4 linked regions of the Caenorhabditis elegans genome follow. The protein of the gene in region 2 interacts with the protein of the main gene of each other region in a pairwise test. Each region holds a gene or a part of one and is shown on either strand. Other genes may lie near its edges. The genes, in order: C40A11.2, aldo-2, trak-1 and nhr-35.

What was found.
Region 1: the proteins of aldo-2 (region 2) and C40A11.2 interact in a two-hybrid assay, tested with the Caenorhabditis elegans proteins (one large-scale study listed by BioGRID).
Region 3: the proteins of aldo-2 (region 2) and trak-1 interact in a two-hybrid assay, tested with the Caenorhabditis elegans proteins (one large-scale study listed by BioGRID).
Region 4: the proteins of aldo-2 (region 2) and nhr-35 interact in a two-hybrid assay, tested with the Caenorhabditis elegans proteins (one large-scale study listed by BioGRID).

What each region holds. Positions count from the first base shown.
Region 1 is NC_003280.10:2,145,074-2,149,318, forward strand, and holds C40A11.2 (BTB domain-containing protein), read left to right. Parts: upstream 1-1,876; 5' UTR 1,877-1,889; coding exon 1,890-2,009; intron 2,010-2,226; coding exon 2,227-2,475; intron 2,476-3,239; coding exon 3,240-3,351; intron 3,352-3,430; coding exon 3,431-3,591; 3' UTR 3,592-3,719; downstream 3,720-4,245. Other genes in the region: C40A11.6 (BTB domain-containing protein), read right to left, coding at 1-233, 390-509; C40A11.7 (BTB domain-containing protein), read right to left, coding at 3,733-3,911.
Region 2 is NC_003281.10:5,874,137-5,878,045, forward strand, and holds aldo-2 (Fructose-bisphosphate aldolase 2), read right to left. Parts: upstream 2,335-3,909; 5' UTR 2,186-2,334; coding exon 2,144-2,185; intron 2,085-2,143; coding exon 2,003-2,084; intron 1,666-2,002; coding exon 914-1,665; intron 863-913; coding exon 638-862; 3' UTR 542-637; downstream 1-541. Other genes in the region: F01F1.3 (MIF4G domain-containing protein), read left to right, coding at 1-68, 118-264, 308-466; mig-21 (Abnormal cell migration protein 21), read right to left, coding at 2,884-3,197, 3,340-3,438, 3,495-3,613, 3,658-3,902.
Region 3 is NC_003279.8:6,121,138-6,127,361, forward strand, and holds trak-1 (HAP1 N-terminal domain-containing protein), read left to right. Parts: upstream 1-1,984; 5' UTR 1,985-2,012; coding exon 2,013-2,108; intron 2,109-2,275; coding exon 2,276-2,349; intron 2,350-2,508; coding exon 2,509-2,634; intron 2,635-2,809; coding exon 2,810-2,869; intron 2,870-3,200; coding exon 3,201-3,420; intron 3,421-3,470; coding exon 3,471-3,642; intron 3,643-3,690; coding exon 3,691-3,869; intron 3,870-3,915; coding exon 3,916-4,086; intron 4,087-4,132; coding exon 4,133-4,253; intron 4,254-4,307; coding exon 4,308-4,456; intron 4,457-4,507; coding exon 4,508-4,582; intron 4,583-4,766; coding exon 4,767-4,907; intron 4,908-5,272; coding exon 5,273-5,395; 3' UTR 5,396-5,722; downstream 5,723-6,224.
Region 4 is NC_003284.9:4,530,724-4,538,072, reverse strand, and holds nhr-35 (Nuclear hormone receptor family member nhr-35), read right to left. Parts: upstream 5,383-7,349; coding exon 5,172-5,382; intron 5,123-5,171; coding exon 4,964-5,122; intron 4,917-4,963; coding exon 4,817-4,916; intron 4,244-4,816; coding exon 4,045-4,243; intron 3,997-4,044; coding exon 3,868-3,996; intron 3,688-3,867; coding exon 3,545-3,687; intron 3,499-3,544; coding exon 3,374-3,498; intron 2,905-3,373; coding exon 2,753-2,904; intron 2,706-2,752; coding exon 2,585-2,705; intron 2,538-2,584; coding exon 2,423-2,537; intron 1,039-2,422; coding exon 961-1,038; intron 912-960; coding exon 815-911; 3' UTR 527-814; downstream 1-526. UniProt on the Caenorhabditis elegans protein: Orphan nuclear receptor.

The sequences.
Region 1 (4,245 bases), on a different chromosome or scaffold from region 2:
ATGATTTGCAGCAATTCATGAGACGAGCCATAAGTTCTGATTTTGTTTTTTATAGGTTCACACAAGTCTACCAAATGCTCCAACAAGTAGAATTCGGCTTCTTTTTTCAGTTCTTGTAGTTCTTTTTCAGAGTCTGGAAGTACTGTAACACCGGATCTCATGTAGTTTAGCACAGTTTCAAAGTACTTTGGAGAGCGATCAATGAAATAACAATCGGAAGTGTCCTTTTTAACCTGAATTTGAAAAATTAAACGCAAATGTATTGGGAACGATCACAAATGCTCACGTTCGATCCTGTCCTGTTATTTTCTGTTTTACAGGTTTTTCTACTGTATCCCTGATTTTCGTCTTGTTTCGTTGTCGTTGATTTAAAAAAAATTTAAACTAACCGGAACATTAGTCTCAATTAATGTTTTGAAGAATCCATCCTGCTTGGTCAGTGTCGATTTCCACGTCTCGAATACAGATCCGCCGACATTCAACTTGACAATTGTTTCAGAAAAGCACATATTGAGTAACGTGTATTCACAGAGAATAAATTGATGAACAAATGAGTCGAGTGGTCTCGCTTTACATCGATTTTGTGGCCATCTGCTAACCCATTGCTCTCAGCACCACGGGGAGGCTGACCCCAGGGCTCCCACCACGATTGGTATTTGCACAAGCACCGTAATCTTTACATTTTTGAATTACAAGCCACATTTTGAAGCATTCTGGAGATTCAATGAATTTTTTGACAGCGAATAATGAAATGGAAAATTGATCCTTAATTTGGAAATTGTTATTTTCTTTACTTCAATAAAAGTTTAACGTACTCATTTGTCTGATGGATGTCTTAACCTGTCTGCGTCTCAATGGAAGAAAATGGTCCGGGTTTGGGTTCATCTGACCGTTAGTGTGTAAGAGACCCCCTCTGAGCTCATCGATTTTTCCTGACCATCTGCTCACAGTAAGTACGGCGGGAGAGCAACGTTTGGCTAATCTGGTATTGGTGAAAATGTTCTCTAATTTACCTGAACTCTCTCCATTTTCCTATGACATAATAAGTTTTCCTGTAATTTTCTAAAAAATTATCCCAAATTTTCTGGAATTTTTTAAAATTATCTGTTTTTTTTTTTGAAAATTTTGGCAGTTTCTGAACTAGATAATTTGTGATTGCTACTTAAGTCCCTTTGGTTCCAAAATGGCCAAATATCATAAGAAAACGTTTCAAAAAATTTTTGAAAATTTTTTATTTACTGCCAAAAAGTGGCAATTACTCGGTTTTTGCCACTCATAATTTTGGAAATCCACCAAAAAAACAATTTTTTTCTACATTTTTTATGTTTTAATTTTGTTTAAATTATTTGTATCAAAACATTGTAGGGGTCGAAAAATGCGACATTTCTTTAAATTTCCTCAACAGCTCATATTTTTCAAAATTTTGGCAATATTCCAAAACGTTGACCGGAATGGAACTTTCTGAAGGTTTCTAAGCTTTTTAAAAATGTTACAAAATTATCTGAAACTCCCTGATTTTTTTTTTGAAATGTCTCAAATCTTTTAGAACATTCTTAACTTTGTTGAAACATTCTAAATTCTCTAAGAAATGTCTAAAATTTTTCAGAAAACTTCTAGAGTTTTTTGAATCTTTCAGAAGTTTTCCGAAAAGTTTTGATTTTTTTTTTAATTTCTGCAAATTTATAAAATTCCCAGAAAATTGCTAGACTTTCGAAAAAAAATGTTTGAAGTCTTCTGAGTTTTTTTTCGAAATGTTCTGAAACTGTCTGAAAAATTTTTTTTTTTTCTGGAACTTTCCCAACTTTCTCAGATTTTCTGCAACTTTCTACAGCTTCCTACAATTTTCTGCAATTTTCCTCAAATTTCGCTCATTTTCAGCGATTTCCAAAATGGATTCCATAGTTGAGCCCATTAAACTAGATATCGGTGGTACGGTATTCGAGACGTGTAAACTGAAGCTCACTAAATTTGATGGTTTCTTCAAAACTATGCTCACAAGTGATATTCCGGTAACTTTCAATTTTATTTTTTATTTAATTTTCCAACTTTTAAAATTTTCCTAATTTTTCTGAGAGATTCTGGAACTTTCTGGAACTTTCTGGAACTTTCTAGAATGTTCTGAAACATTCTGGAACGTTTTGTAAGTTTCTACAACTTTCGAAATCTTTCTCAAAGCTTCTGGAATTTTCTAGAACTTCCTGCAACTTCAGAGATGTTCCATTCTAGGTCTCAATCGACGAATCCGGGTGCATTTTTGTGGATCGGTCCCCGAAAAATTTCAGCCTGATTCTAAAATATCTGAAAGAAGGTGATGACGTGGAACTTCCAAAGTTTGAACGAGAACTGCAAGAAGTGAGAAGAGAAGCCGAATTTTACCTTTTAGACGGTCTAGTCGACCTATGTGATTCTTTTCTTAAAATTCGGTCATATGAAACTTCGGAGGAGCTTCTTCATATTATTGCAAACTGCAAAAAGGTATAGATGACGTCATTGAGTGGGCAGGGCTTTAGAGGCCACGCCCCTTTTGTAAGCTGGGCCTCCGTAGTTCATGTGACGAAATTAACTTTGGAAAATTTTTTTGTAATTTTCTGAAATTTTTCAGCAATTTCAATAACTTTTATAAATTTTTCTAAAATGGTCTAGAACTTTCTAGAACTTTCCGGAACTTTCTAAATGTTTAAAAAATTTTATAGAATTTTCAGAAAAAATTTCAGAAATGTTCTGGGGCTCATTGAAACTTTCTGACAGTTTTCAGCTGATTTTGTAATTTTTATGAAATGTTCTGGCACTTTCTGAAACTTTCTGAATGTTCATAACTTATTATAGAATTTTCTTTAAAAAATTTTTTAAAATTATTTTTAGGCACGCCCATTTGTGGGCGGAGCTTAATAAGCCACACCCAATTGTTCTCTTCTAGACTTTAAAATGTTTAGCACGAAATTCAAAAATCAAGTTCCTTGAAATATTTTGGAGCACATAAGAGGCGTGGTTTAACAAGCTCCGCCCACTAAAGAGGCGGGACGGGATTGGCTCCGCCCACTAAATGGGCGGGCGGGGTGAGCTCCGCCCACTGAGTGGGCGGGGGTTATAAGATAACGTCAAAATTTGTTCGCAGTTTTGATTCCCAACAAAATTTTTGACCAAGAAAGGGGCAGGGCTTGATAAGCTCCTCCCACAAAATGATCATAGCCGAAAATTTTGGCGCTTCATTCAAATTTTCGAAATATTTTTTTTTTCAGACAGCAATTCTTGTGATCAGCTATACAGTTCACAATGATCACCTCTGGAACTCTCCAGAATCCTTCAATTTTCAATATGTTCTCGAAAATCCAAAGTTGGATGTCTATTTCAGTGAGTTTTTGACCTGATTGGTCGAAAAGTGGGCGTGGCCGGGCGCTGATTGGTCGAATAATTTACAAGTGATTTTCAGAACAATGTGAATGCGAAGATGAATCTGATAAATCTCGGCGTGAAGATGGAGTCAATAAAGGTCACCAATCATGGATTTATCGGCTGTACTCTCCGATTAAAGGATTTAAAACATTTACAAATTTTGATAAATTGGAGAAATATATTAATGGGAGGCTGTGAAAATCGGGAATTTATGAATAAAATGTTGATCACTTCTAGACGCCGCCGTACCTTTTTGAGAAGTTTTCGAGAATTTTCATTATAAAACAAATGTAAAAAATTTGATAAATGCATTTGAAATATTAAATAATATGTGGGTATTCATTCTCCGTTCAAAATACTATCGATTTTCTTCTGTAGATCATCCATAGCTGTTAAATCAACGCAACCTGAATGCGTACTGTTGTAGATGCGATAACTCCAAACTGGTTCAGGGTAATATTTCATTCCGCGATGTCTCCTTAAATCTTTTGGCAGAGGTTCTCGATTATCCATTGGTTCTGCAAAATAATTTTAAGTAATTTGTTACAAATACGCTAAATAAATTAATCAGACATGTTTCAACAAATTGCGATGAAAAAACATTTTTAGGTCAATTTTTTTCCAAAAATTTTTTAATCTAATTTTTATAAAATTTTAAAAAATAAGTCAATTGTGTCATTTTCTATATTAAAATCAAAAATAAAAATTACGGTTGTCACTGTGAATTTCTAAAAATTGAAGTAAACTTTGCGTTTTTCAGTTGAAAACAGTAGTTTTATTTATGCAAACTGTTATATCTCTAAGAAAACATATGGCACTTTTTAAAAAAAATTACCAAAAATATCTCTGTAA
Region 2 (3,909 bases):
TCATAAAACCAATGTTCTCATCTTTGGATGCACTTATTGATGATGCTCCAGATACCGAAGATCTAGAGGTTTCCACAGAAACATTTTTCTGAAAAATCTAGAATTTTTTAATTTCAGACAGCCGGGATACTTCTCAGCGAGAATGGTCGCGTTCTTCACGATTTGAATTCATATCTCGTCGAACGAATCATTGTAAAATTGCGTCATAAACTTATCAGTGAAGATCCAATTGTCACTAAACATGTCCGTCAAATATTCATTCATGTGAGGAAGATCAGAGAATGATCAATTGATTATTTGATTTTAGGTGTATGATCTTTGGGCATTTGGATGGAGTGAGCTGAATATTCCTGAATGTCTTCTCACTTTGAGTGCAGAAGGGAAGCTATCGATTGTTGATCAGACACCACTTCGGAAGAATGATATCAGCAAGCAAGAGTTCGGAAGCAAAGAGAGCATTGTTTGAATATATTGAAGTAGATCCTTAATATTCCCACTTTTGGTGATTTTTAGTTTTCGGGTTTCATAAAATATAAAATTTCGGTGAAATAAAACTTCATTTCGGGGTCAGTGAAATTATACAATCTTGGGGACGAGGTTGCGAAAAATCTATTCACAGGAAGTTATGCGTCATCGCTTAATAGGAATGCTTGGCAACGAAGAGAGACTCGGCGGCGGCTCCAGCTGCGTCTTCTCCGGCGTACTTTCCGAGAGATGCATCTCCATTGGCCTTGGAACGGTGAAGGAGTGTCTTCTGAGCGGCAGCGATGTTCTCGTCTTTTCCGCCCCATGCCTTGAGCACAGAAGCTTGAAGAGCACGTCCATAAGAGAAGGTGAGCTTCCATGGCTTTCCGAGTTGAACCTGTAAATAGAAATGAGTGATATAAGGTTATTCCATTTCGTTTAAATTTACCGAGTTAATAGCATTGAGGTTAGCAGTGGCATCAAGTTCGGATTGCCCTCCAGACAGGAAAGTGATTCCTGGAACTGCAGCTGGAACTCCGCGTCTCAAGGCGGTTACGGTAGCCAATCCAATTGCCTCGTGTGAAGCTTTCGACGCGCTCGATTGTCCTGGAGTAACCATGTTTGGCTTGAGAAGAGTTCCTTCGAGATACACGTGATGATCAGCAAGAGCCTTGTACACAAAGGCAAGAACTTGCTCAGTAACCTTCTGGGCACGAGCCAAATCATGTTCTCCGTCGCAGAGAACCTCTGGCTCGACAATTGGAACAAGTCCGTTGGCCTGGCAGATAGAAGCGTATCTGGCTAGCACATTGGCGTTCTCGAGCATTCCGAGGTGAGATGGGGTGTGAGTTCCGATGTTGAGAACACAACGCCATTTGGCGAATCCACATCCTCCCTTCTTGAAAGCAGCGGCACGTTCGGCAAGCTTGTCGAGCCCCTGGGTGGTTCCCTCTCCAATGGTTCCAGCCAATGGGACAACTCCGAGATCGAGCTTGATTCCTGGGACGATTCCTTGCTTGATGAGAAGATCGGTGAACTTCTCTCCCTTATCGGTGCTTTGATGGAATGTCTCCTCGTAGAGAATCACTCCGGAGATGTGCTGGTTGAGATTTGGAGTAGTGAACAGGAGTTGACGATACTTCTGACGATTTGTCTCGTTGTTTTCGAGGTTGATGGCATCAAGACGCTTTCCGATTGTGCCTGCAAATTGATCGGGTCACGATGTGCTGCATTATAAAAAAGAAGAAATCGGTCTTCCCCAATATCATTTCTACATGTTATCTTTCTTTCTATCTACAATTTTATCTATCACTCGCACTATCAATGCATCAACATCTCCAATTTCAACAACATAAACATCGAAAATTGGAGGCGATAGAGGGCACAGAATATGATCGCTAGACCGTGAAAATTTATTTTTTGAACTTCTGAACATAAGTCGCTAATTCTTATTGAATAGAAAAATTGTCAAAAGATGATTGTGAGAAGATAAGAATCTCGATTTTCTAGTTCTAGAAGAATTTTTCCAATAGCTCACCAGTGGATTCATCGGCGGCGAGGATTCCCTTTCCATCTTGAACAATTTTGAGAGCGATTTGGTGAAGCTCGTCTTTTTGAGCCTAGAAATACAACAATTAAACTAAGAAGGGCATTACAAAATGATGAATGATCAACAAACCTGGGTAAGAGAGTCCTTGAAAGCGCCTCCGACAGTTGCCATCGTGAAAAATAGAAGTGATGCGAAATGAAATGGACGGTCGAGAAAATGGGGAGGCGGAGAGTGTAGAGAATCAGTACAGTCGCCGAGAGTGTGCGCAAAAACGGGAGACGGCGAACGGGCGGCGCCAAATATTGTTGGCGCGCAGAGAACTGAAACGTGATATTCTTGTACTACTTTAGGATGATCGAAAAATTCCGAGATAGAAAGTTTTGAGGCCTATTTTTAAAGAGTATGTCAATTCGGCAAATTAATCTATAGATAAAGTAGATAAATCCCTTAAAAAAACTACACAAAAATTTTTTTTTAATTAATAAAATTGTGCACAATTTTTTAAAAACAATTTTTCACAATTGTGCAGGAATTATTTTCTTAAGTTTTCGGCTGTTTTCTTATAGAAAAAACCGAAAAATTTGGAAATGAAAAAATGAATCCTAAAATTGAATTTAAATGTGCGGTATTGTCGTTGTTAGTCGTTGGCTTGCGCTGCGAGACCCATTTGCGAAAGTACGCCTCTCTTTAAAAGTATAATTAATTCTGATGTTTTTTCTTTAGAATTTCAGTCTTAAAACTGAAGAGTTGAAGTGATAAGAATTAAAAACACCTCACTCAGAGTATTCGTTGTACAGATCAATGATAACTTTTATTATCGTGGCGTGAGAAATGGGCAGACAGAGACTGTTCTCGAAAGCATCCGAAATTCACCAAAAACTTTCATCTTTCGGGGAACCCGGAGAACGAATCAAATGAGAAGGATAGTCACGTGGATTTGAATCATACGAATAATTCAATCTTATGAATCTCCTTTTAAAACGATTCACAACACAATAAATAATATTTTGAAGAAGGAAACCCGTGAGAATACAAAAACAAAATATTGGAATTGCAAAATGCAAGGGAAGACATGATGACGTGAATCTTGATAAGAGATGGTGTTCGATGGAAATAGAAGAGTTGTGAAGAAGACGATAACGGTATGCAACTCCTGGATGCATATGCCATTCAGACCAGTTGGCTGGAAATTATTCTCATTAATTTTTTATCATGTTGTTAACTAACACAAAAATTTAGACAGTAAAGTGGACATTGTACTTTGAAACTTTCAAATTTAGTCTTCAAGTTATGGTTCTTCGAAATTTTTTAACTAAAATTAATACCATGCTTCATTGAGTCTTGAGTCTCCTTCCGTATTCCCACTTCAGTATTCGCCACGTTTGATGACGAACACCAGGCTGAAAACCGTACTTGCTCAATTCCTGAAATTAAATCATTACAAATTTGTTGATATATTTCAGCGTAATGAGACCCATACCATAATTCACCCAATCTGTCCATTCGGACCATTTTTTACTAATTGGACACTCATCTGGGCGGCAATCTTCGTAATCCTTGTCACATCCCTCGCAGGAATTACCTTTGCAGTGCCGAGTTCTGAAACTTGGGTTACTGTACATTTCCCAATTGTTTGAACCTACCGTATCCTCAGGCTACGATCACAATCGCATCGAGACCATGGATTCCAGGATGTCCAGGATCCAAAAAGATACTCCGGTACATTTGAAGAAATTGCACAAGATTGCTTCTCAACTTTCTGGCCAGAACAAGTGGTACCAATTGGTAAAGGATTATTACACGTTCGTCTTCTTTTTCGGATACCTTCTCTACATTTCGACCATTTTGACCACGTTGACCAACCTCCTGGACGGATGCAATTCCAAATCTGCATC
Region 3 (6,224 bases), on a different chromosome or scaffold from region 2:
TACTATCAGACTTTAAAACGAGACATGTCTTATTATACTAGAACTCTTTTTTAGTTTATGTAGGTTATCACAGGAAACTGCGAAACCCAACACCTACCTCCAGAATTTTTAATCTCAAAATTTTTCAGTGAATGTTGTTTTTAGGAGCCAGAAATGTTTTTTATAACACTTTTTGGGAATTGATATTTTCTCGGAAAAAAAATCAGAATTGTTTGGACTGTGTTGTGTGAAAAATGTTCTATCAGTTTTATTCAAAAAAGATTTCAAAAATTTTGCACTTCTCTGAGCAACATTTCAGTTATGAAGAGTCTGCAAAAATCCATTGTCGGGGTAATTCTGTGGTGATTAAAATAAGTAAAGTTCAATTAAAAATTTAAGGGATAGGTATTTTGTCGTTTAAATTTCTCTGATAATCCACTCTAAAAATACGATTCCAAATATGACCATCTTACTTTGAAGTCTTGTGGATAAACCTACATCCATTTGTTGCAAAACCGAAAAACGAAATGTTACGTGTAGTTTTTTGTTAACCTTGAGCATTAGTTTTCACACCCATGTGTTCCGTTTTTCAAAGCCCGCCTTTTTGAAAACCCTAAAATACATAAAAGATACCGCAAATAAGTGACTACCAACAATACATGTTTACCCATACTACCCCCATGTCTTCCAATTTCCTGTCGCTACACATTGTTTAACCATTCGCACGTCTTACCGTTTCATGGTGAGAAGTTGTTGTAGTTTATTACGATTTTGGAGCGTGTCCCATCATGGTTGACTCCCAGGAAGAAGAGTGACGTCACCAGGCGGCCACATCCATCCTTTGACAGAGGGTGAGGCTAGAAGGACAACCTTTAACATTACGATTTTCGCACCTGACCTTCTCATGCTCCTTTTCGCAAGCTGTCATATGGCTTGAGGATTTGTTTAGCTAAACTTGAGCACCTCCCTTCCTCAACCACGACAAACCGACACCTATCCCCCTCTTTTGATTTGAATATAATATATTCGTGTGCGTTTGTTTGTGTGCTTAGGAATATGTATAGGAAAGCCGCTAAATTTCTAAGTTTCGAGCATCAAATCAAAGAATTTATCTGAAACGATAACCAGAAATTCCCGTAGCCCGAACAGAACGTTTCCGCATCATTCACCCACTCCTGCTTCTTAGTCACAATGTCTGTCTCATCTTCCCATTTTCATTCAAAAGCTATTCGGATTTATAAGGATTAGTAAAGAAAGCTATGCTGACGAGGTGTTTTCTTCTTTTTTCATTTTTGTTGTATTTTTTATCGTGAAAATACAAAAATATGAAAAACCCTGAATTTTCGACAAAGTAAGTTGCACCACTTTGGCAGTGAACATGTTTTGTTATATCAAAAAATTTTACCTGAAAATTAGAAAAAAACCGTTGTACCATATATAGGGTTGTAGTTAATTATTTTTGATCTACACAAAATGAGCCAAGATAAATACGGTATTAATTTGAAAATGCAATCTTCTCATTTTATGATAGTGGCAAAGTTCTCTATTTTCTCGGATATTCTCGGTGGGTTGGAAACACTCTGTGCGATATTTGGCATATGTCGAAAATTGCGAAAAGCCGCACAGGCCTGGCTCTGGGAATGAATAGAATTAAACGCATGAAAGTCTTCTTTATATACCGTTGTTTTTCTTCCAAACGACTATTAAAATTATAATCAAACACATGTTCGTTTCCTCTCTCTTTTCCTCGATACCTTTTCACTTAACGGTACTAAAAGTACAAACATACATTCTTTCTCTCACAGTCAAACAGTTTGAAAAAGAAACAATGAGTATACCTTTCCTTTCCTCCCATTTTTTCTCTAATTCTCTTTCACTAGTGCCGCCCGTCCGCTTTTATCGTTTTTTCTTGAGGTTCTCCCCCTTGATTTTTCGTTTTCCATAGATCAAATTTGATAACCATTTTATCTTGAATCCTTTCAGTCTAATAGTTTTTATTTTCCAGATTTTCGAATGTTTGGGCTGTCAGCCGAATGAGCCCAACTCCAACTCGAAACTCCTCTCCACTTGATCCGTCGTGTGCTCTCAACGAGCTCGACTGCAATGGTCTCATGGTTATTTTAGAAAAGGTATGCCTTAACTTGTTCTTATTTCAAACTTATTTTAGTAATCGAAAAAATCGAATGGTAAAAATTGTAGAGTAAACATTGTGAAACAAAGAAATATAAAATGTTTTCGATTTTATTTTTTAGTATTGAATTCATGATCTTCAACTATTAAAACATGTTTTTTTCAGAAAAATCACGATCTTGAGCTTGCGGCTAAGATTGGCCAATCGTTGTTGGAGCAGAACAAAGATCTTCAGACAAAGTGAGTGTTTTCTAATTAAGCCCACCGAGTTCAAGTATCAATTACACTTGTTTTAATGACGAGTGGAGGGAAGATAGGATTAGTATGCGAATAAAAGTTCTAGAAAATAGGGACTATTTCCTTGTTCTAAAAATAAGCTCTAAAAATCAATGTTTTCAGAAATGAGTTCCTCGAGGAGAGTGTCAACAAGAACCTGGACACAATTGTTCAACTGAAACATGAGCTTAATCAACGAATTGAGCTACTCAGGGTCTACTCACATTTAGATGATGATGGTTTACCAAGGTAAGATTTTTGTTTAAAACTTTTCGACAAGAAAGAGCCGAATCACAGTTGGTCATTGTGTTAATATTCGTTGTGGAATAAACAACTTACTAAATTTATATCAAGCGTGGCGTGGAGATCAAAATCTTGTTCTCTTGCTTCTTCGTTTTTCAAAGTTAAAAAAACTCAATTGCAGGTCAAACAGCGACGAGGCACTCCGAGAACGGCTTAAATCCACAAAATCGGAAAACGAGAGGTTTGTCAAATAATCAAATAAGCCAGCGTAATTGATAGTGGGTGGGCGATCGAGTTCAAAATTGTGCAGTTTTTGGATAAGGGGAACGATTGATAGTCTAAAAAACAAAGATCCTGATAATGCCATCATTATTGCTCTCAGAGCCTCTCAAGCTCCGTTGCCACGAATAACTTTGGGTTTTTGGTGATTGCTCAACTGAAAATCCTATGTTCTTTTTTTTTTCACACTCTCACTTCACGCTCTTGCCGCTTGCAGGCTCACTTATGTTCTGAAGCACATCCATATGCTAGGAACGTGCTCTGACCAAAATTTCACATATTCACAATTTAAGACTTCGCCAAGAATGTGATCTTCTCCGGCAAGAATCCGCTATAGTCACTGCTCAGAAGAATAGTTCATACCTGCTAGAAAAACAGTTGGATTACACAAATGACAAAGTGATCAGCTTGCAAAAGTTGATTGAACAAAAAACAACAGAACTCAATCAACAATATGAGAACACTGGAAAGCTGATGAATGAACTGGCGGATAAGGATAAGAAAGAAAGAATGGTAGGTTCTTAGATGCTTTGCGAGCTGCAAGAAACGATTTTTTATTGCAGATCTCAATGGAAAAAGAAGAAATGGGTGCGATACTCATTGAGATGATCCAAAGACATGACACAATGCAAGCTGAGCACAAAGAGATGCAGGATCAATACGCGGAGCTCATGGCTAATTTTGCGGAAACTGAATCCGAGTTGAATAAGCTCAGAAGTACCGGGAACTTAAGAAGTAAGATTTATACAACATCAACTTGACTGAATTCTTCAAATTTTTCAGTGTCTTATGACTCTCTCTATGACTCCCTTGCGTCTGAAATGGAAAACTCCGAGTTTTCACCAGCGGGTCGCACAACACAATTGACAGTTCTTACGGGGAGAGATAGCTATGCAAATGATAGTGGAATTGATGCAGGTGGTCCAATGAGCTTGGCAGCTGAGATTGAACACTCAGAAAAGGTACAATTTCGACTTACACAACTCGAATAATAATATATTCTTCCAGTATCAAATTCCCTCGATCGCAGAGCCTATCTTTGCTACCTCATCAAAACTGGCGGCTCTCTGTGATGCGAGCACTTCATGCACAGATATCTATCGTGATTCTACTCCAACGATACAGGACGACGATGTCACAACTCCTTCGGTCTCTGGCATTAACGCACATTATGCTGAGGTAAAACTTATTAGGCAAAAAAAATTTTCAAAAAATTTTTTTTTAGACCAACCAACTTAGCTTCCCCAGCGAAGAAGCCGTGTCCACACCGATTGTGGCACGAAAGTATATCCCGTGTAGCAGCCCGAGTAAGAGCAATTTGAGCAAGTTACAACGGTTGCATATAGGTGAGTAAATTTTCTTATTTTGCGTCGATTGACATTAGTCATGTCTATTTTCAGGTAATCGTCCACATGCTCAAAGTTTCGATGTTCCATCTACAACTATTTATGACGCATCGTCTTACGCAGAGTCAAAACTAGGACAACCGGGAATGCCTGGAACTCGTGATCTGGATATCTCCTTGAAAGTAATCAAGGCTAGGGAAGAGGTGATTTGCACTTTAACCGAGCTTTATACTAACTCTAATCGGATATGTTAGTTTCAGGTGCAAAAAGAGTTTGCGGCGTTTTGTCAGCGGAAAGGTATCGATCAGCAACAGTTTTTCGGTTCTCAGGTAGTCTACTTCTTTCCTTTTCTATCAATTATCAAATGAGGGAGGTTTGAAACAAAGTTTTGATTATTGGAAGTCCAAACCTCCCCTCAAGTACATTAACTTTTCGGTAGCTGCCCTGTCATGTTAACAGTTTTTATTAAAATATTGATTGAAGTGCTTATCTAACCAAACTCTCTCATTACAGGACCGTCGTCAATCAAATGAAACATCATGGATGGATTTCAGTGCTGCATACGGAGTCAGAATGATTCAGAGTCTGAAACCAAGACATGCCGAACAGTCATTAGCATTGGGTCTCAGACAAGGAGTGTTGACGAGAGCAGAGGTAAGATATGAATTAAGTTTAAAAATTTGGCATTTATTACTTACAATTAGTAAAGAAAACTTTTGATTAATTCATGCATAAAAAGGAATACTATAGACAAACCAAAGGAACGGAATCACTAGTTTAATTGACAGTTAGAAATTAACTAACACTGACATTTTGCCAATTGTTTGGCACTTGGTATTAGTCGAATTTTCCAAAAGCCGCACATCTCTATTACAGACATTCATTTAAAATTGGAAATATTTCTTTACTAGGTTTATTTTGGACTATATTTTTGACCTCTAGAATTATGTTCTTTCTATCCAACCAAAATACTTGCCCGCCCCTCTTAGTAACATTTTTTAAACAATTGTAAATTCCAGCTTCTCACGTCTCCATCAACATCACCTCAACATCGAAGTTTATCACTCTCATTATCACCTGGAACATCTGACGGTGGTCTCACGAAAATTGGTGCAATCCACGGTGTTTTATCAAGAAGATAAAGGAAAATGGCTTTTACTTTAACAAATGTTTCCTCTCAATTTCTGAATACATGTACATTTTTTAAAATGATTCGATTTGTTCTACCCCCACTCCACCTAATTTTTGAATTGAAATTTCACTAATACTTATTTGAAAAATACTTAAGAAATTAGAGCTTTTAACTTGATTTTTTTTGTTTTTATTTGTTTTAAACAGCTAGAAATTTAGTGTCTTGAAATGTGTGTAAACCGGTTTTTGCTTTTAAGCCAAATGTTTGACTTTTTTGGAATTTAAATTGTATTGAAATTATGTATCGTTAATAAATTTCGAATTTCTCAATGAAAAATGGCGAAAGGTGGTAATCAGTTTAAGAAGGAGAATAAGAAAAAAAAACGCTATAATTTCTTAAAATCAGCAAACGCGACGTTTGTCAAAAAAACATTGTGAACCATCAAAATTGCTGGAATTTTTCGAAAACGCCAAAGTTATCAAATTTTGGATAGTTTTTCAGGAAACATCTGTCACTTTTTTCATACATTATGAGATATTTTCAAATCCCAGACTATTTGCATGCGGTATTAACAATTAAAACCAAACCTTGCCAAACCAAAACATTTTGGCAACCGCTGGAGCGCAGTTGAATAAAATTTGAAGATATACAGTCTGCCCATATGAAAAAATATATTCACCAGCTTTCACTGACATTTTTGAGGCTTGACTTCAGGAATATATATAAAAGATATATGTAACTTCCTTTTTCAGGTACAACGCCCAAGTTTGAACTTAATGTTTTTTTTGTTGTGGTAAACATACTTTTTCCTAATTTTTTCGGCATAAAGCCATTGTATG
Region 4 (7,349 bases), on a different chromosome or scaffold from region 2:
AAAAAGTAGTAGTCCACATATTCATGTGTCACGTCCGGAACATTTTCCATCAAAGTCCAATTGTAATAGCAATACCCTGACGTGGTTCTCATTAATATGGTGCACATGACTGGCTAAGAGATGAACTGATTTTTGTTCTCCGGATGGTAATTTTTACAGACTAGGGAGAGGATTGGCAAAATTTCGATCGAATGGCTCAGTGAATAATATATTTTCGAACAACTTGTAAATTCTCAAACTTTGTTTCAACTCCATTTAGAAAGCATCTGCGAATTTTTTCAAAGAACCCACGCACCTGGCTGCAGTGTGCATCAAAATGGACCTCAATTTTCAGCATGACTTCACTGAAACATCACTTCCCTCTTGCCATCTCCGTCCATTTTTAGGGGTGCACTGCCAAATGCCAAACAAAATGTAATAACGCGCTTCACGCCCTCGAACAAGACGAGCACCGAGAAGAGGGGATGTCGTAAATTAAAATCCTGTTTGGATTTTGGGGTGTGTGGAACGATGAAAAACTATTCAGATTTCAGATTCAAAGATTTTATGAAAAGATTGTGTTTTATAACAGATCATTGAAAACTGTGAGAAAATTATAAAAATTATATTTATTAGGGGGTGGGAAACAAAATATATTCTTAACAAATGAGTTTGCTCTAACCCGTCAAATTGTGTTTCAATGGCATTTTCTGGGAGTTCAAATAACTTTTTTCTGGTGAATTTTCGGGCATTGTCAAATATCACAGTTTGAGAACATGAAACGGATAGATAGAATAGACACTTGGATTAAAAAGTTTTTTTTGAGAATCGACTACTATGAGTAAGTGTTTGGATATTGGTTGTAGCTAGAAGTGAACGGAGCATACGGCAGGTTTAGGTGAGAGGAGTCGGCAAATTGTGGTGTGTGAGGTCTGAAATGTAACATTTTTAGAATTAAAACTTATAATAAAAACTTCTTACTGTGGAGTTGTGTATTGTGTTCCGATTCCTGACATCATAGCATCGTCTGTTTTGAGCAAGAGGCCGGCAGTGAGAGATCTGCAAAAAAAGTGACAATTGAATTTGAAACTGCAAAATTTTCTTCACATTAATGTTCGATCGTTCTGCTAGTTTGATTTAGTGGTGGTCTTGAAAATATTCACCGCCAACTCACGGGGTTTTGCAAATCCCGGAAGACGTGGAAAAAGTGGAATAAATTTTTCAAGTGCCTTCACCACGGTGGCATTATTAACCGCAAGGGATCACAAAAAAGTTAATATTCAAGTGTGTTGAATTTATGGTTTTGCAAGAAAAGGGAACGCGTGAGATATCCCAATAGGGTAATTAAAAGGAAATGCTATGTGATTCTTGAAATTTCGGAGCTTTCATAATTTGCAAAACACAGAAAGAGGGAACATTGAAAATTGGGAACAGCTTTGCGAAAATGAGCTTAATTGTTTGATTTTGAATTAATCAATAAAACCGGTGGCTTTTTACTAAACAGTTAAACCCTGGGTTTATGTTTGCCCTTATTTCCTCTATCAGTATTGCAACACATTGTTCAACTTTGGCAGCTCATATTTCAGTTGTCGTTATCGTTATATAACTTGTTATTTAACTAGTTATCCACAAAATGCACCGAGGTTTAGCATTTCAAAGTGTAGTAATTTTTTTCATGACTACGCAAGTTCTATGGGCAGCCACAGAATGTGCATCACTTTAAAAAATAACAGGAACATTTACATTGTGTGTTTTATTCTAATGTGTTCAAGGTTTTGTGCGTATTGTTTGACTACAATTTATATGAGCTGAAAAATGCATATGCTCCGTAGCTCAAGCTGCTTCTTGAGTAACAAAATGTAAATTGTCAGACGGTTTTCAAGTTAAACTTGATGTTTTTTCCAGCAAAATTCGTGAACAATAAAACAAATGTGTTGTTTACTGAGTCAATTTCATACTGTACCTCTCTACATACTGAAGTCATAAACTCAATGGTCAACACTATGCTGGACTTGCGCGCACATCTTCTCGGAGCAAATTTTGATAATGTTGATAATTTGAAGTCTACAGTTGAATGTCACCTTTTAACTAGGACATTTCGATGCTCACATCTTGTGTGATCAAGCCAACACAAATAGAGATAAATCAATGACTCATTCTTAAAATTTGGCCGTTAAAGATTAGATTTGACATTATGTACCTAGTTCATCGCTTTACGTCTGGCGATATCCAAGTCTACGTCAATAAGTTGCAAAATGAACGTCAATGGACTGAGGGCAGGATCACACAGTTCACACCTTTGGTGTTTGCTCATTAAAACTCGTACGCCCTAGACTCTGTTGAAACAACTCCGCGAAGGAGGAATTTCCGCAAATAAAGATGGAATAAATGCTGGACTTGATCATTTGAAACGATCTTTGATAGAGGAAAACAAATGACTCACGAGTTTGTGGGAGAGTTGCTTGAAGTGGAGGTTCGCAGAAGATCCTCCGGGCACGGTGAACACATATCTTGGCTTCCCGACGGTGTGTCGTTCATAATTGAGCATGGAGTTTGATCTTGAAAATATTATTTTAGGAATAAATTTTATTAACTAATTACATACCTTGTCTATCTTCCCCGTAATCAGTTTCAGCCAATATCAGTTCTTCCATCAAAACATCAATTCTCGCAACACCGCTGACTTTTGTGAACATGATATCTTCCGAAATTGATTTTGAAAGAACCTGATGTATTCAAAATCGTACGAATAGATGCTAAAGAAAAGCTTTACCGAAAGCGGTGTGAGAATGAAAAATGTCAAATCTCCGACTCGTGTGGTTTCCAGCGGTTTGTTCACTCTTACATATTTTTCGAATGCGGCGAAAATTTTCCTTCTTGCGTTAAGGACCAAATTAACAGCATGGTTGGATAGACCCGGTGCCACTGAAATTAATATATTAGTGTTTTGAAAGCTATTCTAATATGAGCTTAAGATAATAGCTGACATGCATTAGAACAACTAAAGGTAGACTACTGCCAATGGAAAAATGATTTTGATCGTGATAAATTTTTTCGAAAAATTTATGGATTTGTTTCTAATCAAAAAGTGGTGAAAGCCAAATTTTTGGGAAACTAAAGCATTGTCACATGTTCGAGCCCCGACAATGTTGAAATATGAACTATTTAAACATAATCAGAACAACATTTTTAAAGAATTTTATTATGATGTTTGGTTCCTTTAGCACCATTTGAACCGTATTGAAATCCCCACCTGCCCGTACTCCATTTTTTTGTATTTTTTTAAGAAAATAAATTGTTTTTCCTAATAATTTTGCAATGTATATTATCATTTAATATTTTTAAGCTAATTTTGTTTTAAAAAGCCTCAATATTTCCCTCACAAAATATTTACCGGGATTGAAAAGAACGCAAGCTTTGAGAGCCACAAATTCCTTGTTGTCGAGCTTCAAAAATCGCATTGGTTCCACCAACTGGTCCATCACTTTTTCACAGTCACGTAAATAGAATCCATCCACACTAAAAAGCAACATTAAAAACATTGTATATTCTAGCATCCTCTTACTATTCTTTCAGATGTGGTGTGGTTTTTGAAGCCCTTGGAATGTAGAGATCGTTGAGAAGTTTCAAAGCGTCATTTGCACCAACAGAGCGATAAGCCACACAAAGAGTCACGTGCTGACCAGCAAAGTTTTTGAGAAGAACGGCCTGAAAGCTTGGGAAGTTTTTTTTTTCATTTTCTTTAGCGGTTTGTTAAAACTGATTAGCACACAATTGTACAGTTGTGCTTGCTTTGTAATCAACAAAAAAAGGACGAAAGAACTCCGTTATCAATTTACATCTTATTGGAATTCCTCTAACCGACCAGTTTTGTTCAATGGCTCTTACCTGATCAGCACCGGAAAGTTGTTTAAATTCCGGCAGTGTTTTCGCCCATTCTATGACCAGCAAAAGTTGACTGTGCATGGATTTAAGGACGTCGTTCAAAGTTGCTGTTCGGTCTGTGTGGGACAATCTCTGAAATTTGAAACCTCCAGAAGAACAGCTTTTTGGTCTAAAACAAACATTCTTAGATTTGGTGGTGTATTCCACATTTCCGGTCTGCGTGATCACTGTATCACGAAGACTTTGAATCGTCATCTCCGACTTCAAGAGGCTTTCCAATAGTTGATCGTACTCATCTTCCACTGGGGACATTGTTAGTTCGGGTGAGGTTCTCGGAGTCGGGTCTTGACAATAGGTTTTCATGTTGTCTTTTTTTTCTCTGCAAAATTTCCATGATTGATCAATGGTTTTAAAAAATCCTGTAGTGCAAAAATGTTTAATTTTTCAAATTTACAGTCAAAAAGTGGTAAAAACTGAAATCATAACTTTGGATGTTGACCAAAAAAGGTTTTTTCTACGAATATTATTTTTAACTGCTTTTCCAATGTTTATGTTCAACAATTCTTGGTCTCAAATCTACAGCAACGACTAAAATTTGTTTAAAAACTAATTTTGAGTATGACATTTAGTCATGGTTGATTACCATGACGTATTTAGTCTAAATCTTCACTAATAATACTTTTCCATCATTAAGAACAAAAGATCATAACGTGATAATTTTAGCTTCATCGTTTCGCTTGACTTGAAAATATCTGAGTTTCCCCTGAATAAGTATTCGAAAAGTTTTGGTCATTAGTTAGTTCTAATAATCATCGTTTCTACGCTTCAATAGTGTTACACGGGTGAAAAGATATTTTGAAAATGTAAGATCAACCATCAAAAAGTTACTATTCTATTTATGTCTCATATACGAATTTTTAAAAGTTTTAAATTTTCAACTTTGTATACTCACCTTTTACCAATTACATCCCTTTCACTTTGAACTTGATCGTCGCGCATTCCGGATGAAATACATTTCATAAAGCGACAGTAACGACACACTGCGCGGTTATCTGGAATAAAAAAATTAGACTAATTTGGATAAATAAAGGGTACGTACGCTTGTCAATTTCACACTTCGACTCAAATCTACAATGATATTCATAGTTCCGTCGAACGGTTCGTCTGAAAAATCCCTTGCATCCGTTACAAGCAATTGCTCCGTAGTGTCTTCCAGTCGCCACATCACTGCAGATATGACAAATGGAGTTGTCTTTTCCTGAATAATAGAAAATGTAAACTATCATCACAGATAGTGGAAAAATTACCATCCGTTTCTGCTTTGCTGTCACCGTTGTATGTTCCCAACATTTGACCTCTGTAATAATGAGAAATCAATAAAGTAGGTTCAATGGCGGGGTGGCGGCCGTGAGGTGGTGTGGAGCGAAATGAGAATAGGACAAGAAGGCAAACAAAACAATCGAGAGAGCGGGCGTGGGATGGGGTGAAGGTAAAACCAGCGTGTATTTTGTTTCCCATTCTCTCAATCTATTGATCCAAATGGTCGAAGAGAGATAGTTGATCAATTGATGCCAAATGCAAAAAAAGGACGGTATTTGAAACAACTCTGTTCAAAGCTAGTTAGAAGTGCAAAATTTTTATAATGTAGGACAGAAATGCGGACAGACACACGATGCATCCCAATCGGACGCTTATCAAAAAGTGGGAAGCGTGCTTTCCATCGAATCAATAGCCGAATGTGGCGTGATTGTCAGCATTACTGTAATTTTTAGACAACTGATTAGCTTTGCCGATTGCCTCCCGAAACCATCTGAAAAACAATTACCACCAGTGGAGGACAATTGTAAGTTCAGGCGTGGGAAACGAGAGGAATAAGATGAAGAAACGACATGTGATAGGGGGATGGCAACAGCGTGTGTATCTGTGTGTGTGAGTGTGTGTCGGGATGTGTGACAGGAATAAAAGAGACAAGAGACACATGTCATGTTGAGAAGAAGACAAGGTTGCAGAGAGAACGCTCAGCCACACAGTCTATGATTGTTCGAAGAGTGCTCAGGTGTTGTGGACTACAATGTAGGGGCAGTAATAGATTCAGGTGTGGACCATTGCGCGATTTGCTCTACCGAATCGTAGATTTTTGGAGTATTATTTACTGAATTTCTTAGGAATTTTAGGATATAGGGCATGACTGATTATGTTTTTTCCCTTTTTCCAAATACGAAATTAATGCTCTTCAGTAAAACCAAGAAAGTAACCTATTGGGAAACCTAGATCTTAAAGGCTTATTATCATTATTGAAAAACCGTATAAATCAATACGGACAAATTTTTACAGTTTAAAAGTAAACATTAATTAGTTTTGTCTTTCATAATTTTAGAAGTCAATCAAAAACATGTTTTCTTTAAAATTTACAAGTTTTACTTAAGTTTCAAATATTTGTATTTGAACAATTAGAACGATGAGGTCTGAGGCATATAGAATTTTTTTTCTTAATTTCTCAACAAAACCAAATATTTGCAAAATTTGGCAATTTACCACAACGTTTTTTGTATCTGAACATTGCAGGTGTTTCAATATGAAAAATTTGCTCTAAATTTCTCAACAAAAAACTAAACTTTTCATAAATGTGGCACTCTGCCAAAAATTTGACAGAAAATTTTGAAAAATCTGAAAATTGGTGCAGACTTTTTTTTTGATATTTGGATTTGTCGGACCATAATCACTATATTTTTACAAAATTTCATTGACGCTACTTGACGATTTTCATTAAGAATCTCCAATAAATGTAGTGCTCAAAAAAATAAATTACAATTCTTGTGAAAGAATCTATCTCTATTAGAGGCAAGTCAACAAATTCCAAAATAAAACCTGAAATTAAGCTACATGGCAGTCATTCTGGTTTACAAGTGAGAATTGAAGAACATAAGTGAAAATTATATTTCAACGGTTCGATGAGACTTATCGAGAGACATAGTTTTTGCTACCATTTCCAAAATCATATTTGAAAACTGTTTGTCCAGCTGCTAATGCTTTAAAATATATGCATTGAATATGTACTTCAACATTCATTTTCACGCTTTATATACATGACTGAAATATGTTTCCATTATGAAACAAGACTTTCATTTCGTTAATGACACAACTTGGATTAAGGTAACTTGGTGACATAATAAAGATTGACGGGTGTTTCTAGTTTGATTTTGGGTCTATGTAGTTCCGTGCGAGAAATTTTGTTTTTAACACTAAGCAAAACTTTCTCACAATTTTCTCATGTGTTTCTGATTTAAAACGAAAAAAATCGCGAAAAAACGCAGTTATCAGGAAAATAATTTGTGACCTTAAAGAAATGAACACATTAAAACGTTTTCGTCAAGATAAAAATCACTTTCTGTCCGGTAGTTGAAAAAAATATTCAAGATAACAAGAATGCCAACCACGAGGTTAGAAAAAAGAGAGCAAAACCTCTCATATTTCATCGAAGTTCA